Nothobranchius furzeri: one gene and its partner. The main gene of each other region encodes a partner of the protein of the gene in region 2 in a complex. Links are inferred from orthologs where the notes say so. Each region holds a gene or a part of one and is shown on either strand. Other genes may lie near its edges. The genes, in order: slmapa and sike1.

Region 1 (3,817 bases), on a different chromosome or scaffold from region 2:
AGTAACCGGAAGGCAGTACGTTTCTTTATTCTGAAAATCTCGGGAGCTTCGCTCCGTTTCCGCATCCGATTTCCTGTCTTTCCTTCCCCAAAAATGTCGAACTTGACCCGTTTCAGAGGTGTCGCGCGTAGAAAATAGAACCAGCGCGTAAGGGCCGTGACATGCTGCTCCTGAGACGCGGCCGACTCGCGCTGCTGACGGCTCCGGTGGAAAGAAGGGTTTACAGGCGTGCCGTTACACCCCTAGTGAAGCTCTCAACATTGTAATTTCCTGGACTGAAGAAGCAGAATCATAATAGAAAGATTGAAGCATAAATCCCAAACAGTAATGTTTTATGAGTAATGCCACAGTGAGGACAATGAGACAGATAAAAGCAATTAAAGCATGGCAGTGCTGACGAATTATAGACAGACAAAAACTAGATGGACAGACAGGCGCTGGCCAGACAGATGGGGAAGAAATCAAAGATAAAAAAGCAACAACTTGTTTCCGAGAGTAAAACACGGTGGTTCTGGTACCAGAACTCCTGCCAGAACAACAAACAACTGCAGACTAGCCAACCGTTTTACATTGAGATGTCTTTTGTGAGCGTGAACACTGAAACTAATTCTCAACACCCAAACATTATTTGCTTCACAACTGAAACAAAGAAAAGCATGAAGGGATTATTATTATTAATCACGTTTCTTCTGGACAGAGAACTCAAACAGGCAGCCTAATAAGCAAACCCGTTTCTTATATTTACATTTCTACTAAATTCCTCTGGAACCAAACTTTGTTCCACCTTTTAAACATGTTTGTTTTTGAATCAAATACATCACTGGTGATTAACATGAACTCTTATCTAGTTTTCTACATTTGTTTTTAACATAAATCAAATTAACAAACAATCCCTAGAAAGAACTCAAATATAACATTGATTCCTTCTTTATTTGAAAGCATAAAGGGCTTATTGTCTTTCATTCTGAAGACAAAAACGTGCTTGATATTTTATTCTGTTATGACAATTAAACTAACTACCATCAGTATCTGAATCCCGCTCATCTTCGTCTTGGCTCTCAGCCGTCTCCAGGTTCAGTTTGTCTTCGACAGGTTCCTCTACGGGTCCACGGGAGACCGTGTCGACATCTGTCATGTGACCAGATCAGACACACACCATTTTGTCGGAGGCTCTACCAGCTACACACATGCACAGCACAAAGTCTAAATGATGGAGGGCTCCTGAGAAATGTGGCTGCTGTGGCAAAGTGAGCAGTGAACAGTCACCTAAAAGGATGGCGTCGACATTCAATCACCAGGAGTCAATCAGTGACCAAAAGCTTCTTTAATTTCCCCAAGAAGAATAAACAAAAGCAGTGGACAGTTTGAAAACTGTGGAAACAACCCAGACTATCAAACAAGCCCATTAAGAGTGGACAACACGTCCCCACGGACAACCCTTCTCAGACTGAAACACACCCAGTGGCTAAAATAAATGACTGTGTTGTTTTAGAAACGCAAAACATTCCCAGAGACTTCGAAAATCCAGTTAGATTGATTTTAGCGACATGGTCACACTCACAGCTACGTTTTAAACCCACTTAGTGGGAGAAAAAGAACAATTTGTCTTTTTTTCTAATAAACATTCATGTGGACGATGACTCTGGCCTCTTACAAAGCTTTGTGTTTTTGACTGGTTTTTATTTAATGTCTAGTTTCTATATTTAATTGTTCTGAAGCCTGATATAATAAAATATTCTAATGTGAAGAGGAAACATTACTCTAAAACAAAAAACAGTTCTTTAGATCTTTAATTAAAAACATAAAATGGGGGGAGTTTGTGTCTCTCCAAGCCTGTAAAACGGAGTCAACACACTTTCAGGTGTTTGTGGATTTATCTGTAATCTCTTTATGAATCATTTCTTGTCCTATTCCTGGAAGACAGGCTGAGTGTGAACATCCCACCACCTCCAAGATGAAAACAGAAGATGAACGACCAGAATCCCACCGTAGGAAACAAATGAACAAAGAAGAGCTGCAAGAACGGTGAGCAACAGGAAAAGGAATATCATGCAGCAGGGTGGCATGCATCGTTAGTGCAGGATGAACGTGTGAAGTGAACGGCCACAGACACACAACCTTTGTCTCACAGCAGACTGGAGACACGTGGACTCACCAAGACTGTTGTTCTCTTTAATGCTTTTCTCTTGTAGCTGTTCTAACCGCACTGTAAACAACAGCAAAGTAGTAACTTACAGAAGTAGATCTGATGAGACACTGCTGATCCAGCTTCTGATCTACAAGTATTTGTCTTCATAGTGTCACATAGCACAGTGTTTCCTAACTGGTCCTCAAGGCACACTGTCCTGCATGTTTTCCATGTTGTCCTTTTTAAACATCAGTGTTTCCCTGCTGCCAGACACCTGACTTAAATGAATGAGGGATTAACAGGCATCTGCAGCACTTGATGTCCTCCTGAGGAGGCAATAAGGTGTGCGGAAGCACGGGAAACATGTAGGTCAGTGTGCCCTGAGGACCAGGGTTTGGAAACATCAACATGGAGGACATGATTCACTTTGAGGTTAATTATGGAAATTATGATAAAATATATGATTAAAGGTTGGATTAAAGAGGTTAGAAGTAAGGACAAAGTAAATCTGTCAGGGTAACTGTCTGATGAACTAATTTGTACCTTGGAGGGCCGCGAGTCTCTCGTTTGTAAAGTCGTTGTCAGCCTGCAGAGCCTCAATACGAGCCTGGAGAACCTGCTCCTTCTCCTCCATCTCTTCAATTCGCATCTCCATCTCCCTTTTCTCTGTTGCCCCCTGCTGAGTCAGCTCCTCCTGCCTGCCCTCGGCTGCCTGGAGGAGAAGAAAAGGAGCAGCAAAAATCAGGAAGGGGAGACGAGTGTGAAGCAAACCAGAAATAAAACAAGCAGATGAAATAAAAAAGAAAAGAGTTGTTTTGAAAGATAAAAGAAAGAAAACATGAGGTAAGAAATAAAATAATACATTTTAGTTTTAAACACACAAACAAAGCTTTCAAAAGACGTTTCTATGCTGACTTAATTCTCGTTAATCCTGACCTGTTTGTTTAGGTACCTTAATTTTGTCAGTGAGCTCTTTGATCTCGTTGACAGCAGCGTTGTATTTGTTAGCCAGCTCCCTCAGCTCCTCCTGGCCCCTCTCTGACATCTCCTTCAGGTGGGTACACTCATCCTCGGTGTTACTGAGAGCGCGCTGCAGAACGTAACAATTTTTTTTTATGAACAAACAGCAGCTGTGGTTCAGTGACACAACCATGTGGTTCAACCTATGAATCCTCCACAGCATCAGTGGGTGAGACAGAGACATCACGCTGCCTCTAATTAGCTCAAATTGTCTTTGTGGGGAATGAAAAGTGCTGCACCTCTACATGAGTGCAAATATGGGCATTAAACTAGGTTGTAAAGCAGTCTGCAGAGGCTAGATGAGGTTAAAGGTTATGTTCAAACTGCCGGTCTTAGAACTCAAGTCTGATTTTATGCTGAAATGCATTTATCTGTTTGTTCCCATTGTAACTAAAACAAAACAGCAATTAGACTCGTGTTATCAGTCTACAGCACTGAAGAGACCCCAGGTACACAAGATGTGATGTCACACGTGACTAGCTCTGTTCATGCGTGCGAATATGAATGCTGCACATGTTGGTGTGTTTATCAGTTGTGCTATCAGAGCTGACAGAATCATGACTACGTGGTGAACAGAACCGTGTTTGTTTATTGTTTACATTTATGATTTTTGCCTCCTCTGGTGAAGATTTGAGTCGCCAGCCAAAGATCAGGGATGTGAAAGGTGGA
Region 2 (4,603 bases):
TTAGCTTCGCTCCAGGTATGTGACTCTGGTGCTGCGTTTAGGTCACCCGGAAAATATTCAAGTTGTGAAAATCAAATTTAGAATAACAAGAAAATTGCGGTGCAGTTCCCATTATTTCACCACGTCATTTATGAAATCTTATCAAATAATCGACAATGATAAAAATACTTTGAAGCCTTGAAATAAATTAACGTTTTTTGGTGCTTTTTCCCACTTAAATGTTATTGGAGCGATGTTTTTCCAAACGTCTCATTGTCACAATCAGAAGAGCTTAAAATCACCACCTAGCGGTGAAACCCTGAATTAAAAAATAAGGTTTTTGTGTTTTATCAACAAAAACTTCACCATAAGGTAATATGACTTAGTTTTCAGAACGAGTTTTATTTTACACAAATAATTACACTTCCATAAACATGTTCACTTAACCAACAGTAATTTCCTGAGATGACATTTACAGTTCATGACAAAATAACAGTGCACAAGTACATAACACTCAAAAAAGTAATGCTTACAAAATGTTACCGTGAGAAAGATGTGCAGTCAACTATTACACATTTACTCTGCAATCCAATCTAAAAATTCAGAGTAAAAACTGGTATTTATCATGTTGTAAGCATAACAATCAACTATGGCAGACAAAATGTACATTTATAAATTTACAATCTCTTTAAAAAACTGCCCACTGTCATTCCAGCGCAGGCATTTTGTTTTGTGAAACAGCCAATAGTCATTTTCTTGGCGATGAACACAACATCACACGTGGTGTACAAGTTAGCGTTTAAAACAGAGGCATTTTACTTTTTGGGCATTTTACTTTTTTATGTTCTTAAAAGATTAAACTCATCCTTTCTCCATTCTAAACAAAAATAAATCTCCCTCAGCTTCACTTCAGCATTTAGATAAATATAAAATAAACCAGTGATACCCAAAGCACCTCAGTCAAACTCCGTTCGTTTATGAGGAATTCACTCCCAACATTGCTGCAGTGAAAACACAACTACTGTACATAAAGATATCTATCATAATGATATACCCACTGGTAGTTAAATGCTTCTGATGGCTTTAATGTTGAATTTAAATTACTTTTACAAACATTATTCTGCAATCTAGGTTGTGCTTAAAAAAGAAAAAGCTCTTCCTGTTTGGTTGGTTGTTCCACCTGATCAGTTCAGACTGCAGCTGCTCGGGTCACTCATTGGTCACTGCCTGAGGGCACTGCTGCTGCTGGTGTTGATGGCTGGTGGCTCTCTTCATTTCCCATCTTCACAGATGCCTGGCTGATGGCCAGAAGGTCCCGAAGCTCCTTGTTCTCAATCTGAAAGAGCCCGGATAACCAAACGTAACCTCGTGTAGATTACTCGTTATCACCAGTCCATGCAAGATGGTTGTATCTATGCGAGTTTGGTTTATTGAATCAACATTTTAACCAGAATGAGTCAAGAAAGTCATCTCAAAGAGTTTCTAAGTTGATCTCAGGTGTGTCCAGATATTTTCATTCATAATCTAATGCTGCACCATACGCTCCAGGAAACTAGCAAACAAGAAAACCTGAGAAACTCCAACAGTTTTTATGCTAGCAGCACTAAGCCTTGTGTGTGTTTGTAGACTCATGCTAATTTCCTGAGCTGTTTCAAAGCCTTAGAGTCACTGATTTTGCCTTTTAAAAGCTTAATGATAACTCCTGACATCACGACTGCCATTCCAGTCCTTACCTCCAGTTGAGCAAGCCTCTCTTGAACAGAGCAGAAGTGCTGATCGTCCACCTGCATGGCTCTCCTCATCACTTGGCCCATCTCACATATCCGTTCCACCTGGCTTTGCACTTCCTGGATAAGATTCAGAAAGCATAACTTCAAACCCCTTTTTCTGTCAGAAAATTACATGACTGGGAATGTTCACAGCACAATGAAAGTTGGTGTACTTTGACGTAGTCTTGGTGTAGTCTGAGCACTGGTTTCGTGTCCAGCTCCTTTTTTGCCATCATCAGCTGGAGCATCTGCTTGCGATATCGACCCATGATCAGTTCTAGTGTGTACTGGTGCTCTTCAAGGGACAGCCATAGTTCTGCGGAAACAGTGGCGAAGACAAAAATTACAGACAAACACATGAACTCTAAAAATACCTAAAAACATTGTAAGGATTTTACCTTTATTCTCTTGCTGCAATTCCTTGATTTGAGTGTTTTCTTGAGTCAGAAGGATGTGAGGCTTGTATTTTGTGAGTTCCCGAATCTCTGAGCTGTCTTCTGTGTGCTAAAAGGCAGCAACAAGGAAAATGTCATAAGTAAAAAATACATTTTAAGCACTAGTTGGATGACTGTTCCACCTCTTGATAAATAATTCCCATTATTTAAATATGCTTTTAAAGGCTGGTGTACTTTTTTGGACGATCAGACCTTCTATCTCAAAATGTCTAAGTACTTGAGTAGAGTTAGAGAAGAGTGTCATTTTAAGCTTACCTGCAACCCCAAATCCTTAATGCATGGCTTAAGTCAGCCTTCTAATATAAATATACTTTCACCCAACGTTTATGTGTGAGAGACCATCTTACCTTGTCTGGAAGAGCATTGCCCACCTCCCTCATGCCCTGCACTCTCTGGCTGAGGGCCCCGGATTGCTCGATCAGTCCCTCAGCAGCCGTATCGTGCTCTTTCAGCCTTTCCAGGAGGGTCCTAGCATCCCCCAACACTTTTTCAAAAGTACAGGCCATTAGCTATTAAGTGACTAGTCGTATTTGTAAACTAAAGCTTCCAAATACCAGTTTGATCAGGCGAAAATTTGCCCGTACTGTAGCTTACGCTGGCTATGCTGTTCAAACGCACAAAAATGTTTTACAAACAAATATTCATATCTCAGCGGACCCTCCTAGATCATTTCTCAAGAGACAGATGACTAATTAAACCAGGACAATGTATAACAAAAGAAATCCCTCTTTTTGTTGGCAACTTCGTATTCGAGAGGAAAAAATATAGCGTCACTTCCGGGATTGTACCGTAAACAAGTATCTTGCCGTCAAACGTATCATCGTAGACGTAAAAATGTTTACGAATCCTTTGGTTTTCTCATTCTCGGCAAGGAAACCGTGTGCATAGACATTTTCTGAATAATTTCATTATCCAACTATCTTCATGAGTGTCTGGTGCGCAGACCTGTGGGAAAAGCCGTTTTAACATTTAATAGCATACTTTACTGCATATTAAGCATTTAATGCCTTTTAAACCTCGGTTGAGCCCAGGTTGAGCCCGATTATTTACTTCAAAACAACTGAACATCATTTCCCATGAACCCATGCGTGACAACAGAGCCAGCTGCAGAGGCTTCCCTAGCCTTCGTCAAATATCGCGGGAGCTGTCTCCCTAATCACTACGTAATGTGCCGTGCTGCTTCTAGCGGCGCTGGTGACAGTGCTAAAAGCTGTTGGGGTGAGTTTTATATTATTTTTCTCTGCTTGGTAAACCGTTGAGATATATTTAAATGTCTTATTTCGCATTTAATTTTTTTATAATTCAGGCGGGGTCACCAAAGCGAACGGGCGGTGTACAGCAGAAGTCGGGCCTGGGTGGGGATGCCTTGTTTTTTCTCGGGCCACAGCAGCGTGCTCTGGCTAACGAGCTAACGTTCCAAACGACCGAGCGACGGTTAAATAGCAAGCTGGCGTTTCTTTGACGTGTCTAAAGTACCGAAGACATGCTACTTTGGCCATTCTAACACTTAAGACGTTTCTAGTTGGTGCACAACTTTTGTAGACGCGAGCTTTGTAGGTAGTTTCTTTGTTTTCCATCATCCTCGTGCCGTTAGCCGCGGTGTTTTCTTCGTTTACCCTCGATCTGTTAGGAAATCAAACACGTTTTAGCGCATGTGTGTTGTATCGGACTTGATTAGCCGTCTGACAAATTTCGGATTTAAAATTGGTTTTGATCTAATTCCCATTTTGGTTTTTGCATTTGTTTCAGCTGGATGATGTCGCAAATGTGCCAACCTACTTCTTAACGATACACCTTAAACTGGACCTTTACGTTTATTCTTAAGTTTTCCAAATAATTACAAAAAACAATTTATACGACGTACTTCTCTTGAAAGAAAGCATCTTTGTTTATATTTTTTCGAAAGTATCAATATACCATTTATTAAAATCAAATGAAGAATACGTGGCATTGTAGCCTGAGCAACGTTTCTTTAGAAGTCTGAGGCGTTTATAATTTTATTTTAGTCAGGTTTTATTCACCATTATGCTTGTTTTTTACTCATGGATGTGTATTTTAATTTCTGGGTTTGTGACGAGTTTTTAATTAAAATTGAAACGCTTTTTATCGTGGTGTTCAGCACAATTGCTCGGGTCACTTTGACTCTTCCAGCTGAGAATAGCGGATTGTCAGGAAGTCACATGCTTGGCCCTGGCAAAGCAATGCTCTTTCTTGCTCAGACATCATCAGGGTCACTGGTACTTAACTGGCATGTTTTGCCTGTTTTATGCTGTTTCATAAAACAGTGGTACACTGATTATAAACTGCTTGTATCATGACTGGAAGTATTTTTTTGTTTTGTTTACCTGTGTTGAAATCACAAATTATGCCATAAAATATTTTCCTGGGGGGGGACTTAGT

What was found.
Region 1: the proteins of sike1 (region 2) and slmapa are in contact, whole or in part, in a crystal structure (PDB 6AKM), measured with the Homo sapiens proteins. The link is inferred for Nothobranchius furzeri from reciprocal best matches to the Homo sapiens genes SIKE1 and SLMAP. Residues at the interface, in NP_079349.2 of Homo sapiens: Ile5, Ile8, Leu9, Ala12, Lys13, Leu16, Leu19, Arg20, His22, Asp23, Ala26, Glu27, Leu29, Val30, Ser33, Ala34, Leu36, His37, Val40, Met43, Arg44; in NP_001291349.1 of Homo sapiens: Leu168, Tyr171, Leu172, Glu174, Ala175, Arg178, Glu179, Met181, Leu182, Lys185, Thr188, Leu189, Leu192, Leu193, Ile195, Thr196, Ala199, Ser200, Thr202, Ser203.

The regions. Positions count from the first base shown.
Region 1 is NC_091743.1:68,927,030-68,930,846, reverse strand, and holds part of slmapa (sarcolemma associated protein a), read right to left. Parts: intron 3,219-3,817; coding exon 3,081-3,218; intron 2,841-3,080; coding exon 2,672-2,840; intron 2,207-2,671; coding exon 2,156-2,206; intron 1,129-2,155; coding exon 1,021-1,128; intron 1-1,020. UniProt on the Homo sapiens protein: Associates with the striatin-interacting phosphatase and kinase (STRIPAK) core complex, forming the extended (SIKE1:SLMAP)STRIPAK complex.
Region 2 is NC_091755.1:53,137,993-53,142,595, reverse strand, and holds sike1 (suppressor of IKBKE 1), read right to left. Parts: upstream 2,855-4,603; 5' UTR 2,710-2,854; coding exon 2,551-2,709; intron 2,253-2,550; coding exon 2,147-2,252; intron 2,065-2,146; coding exon 1,922-2,064; intron 1,827-1,921; coding exon 1,713-1,826; intron 1,316-1,712; coding exon 1,193-1,315; 3' UTR 362-1,192; downstream 1-361.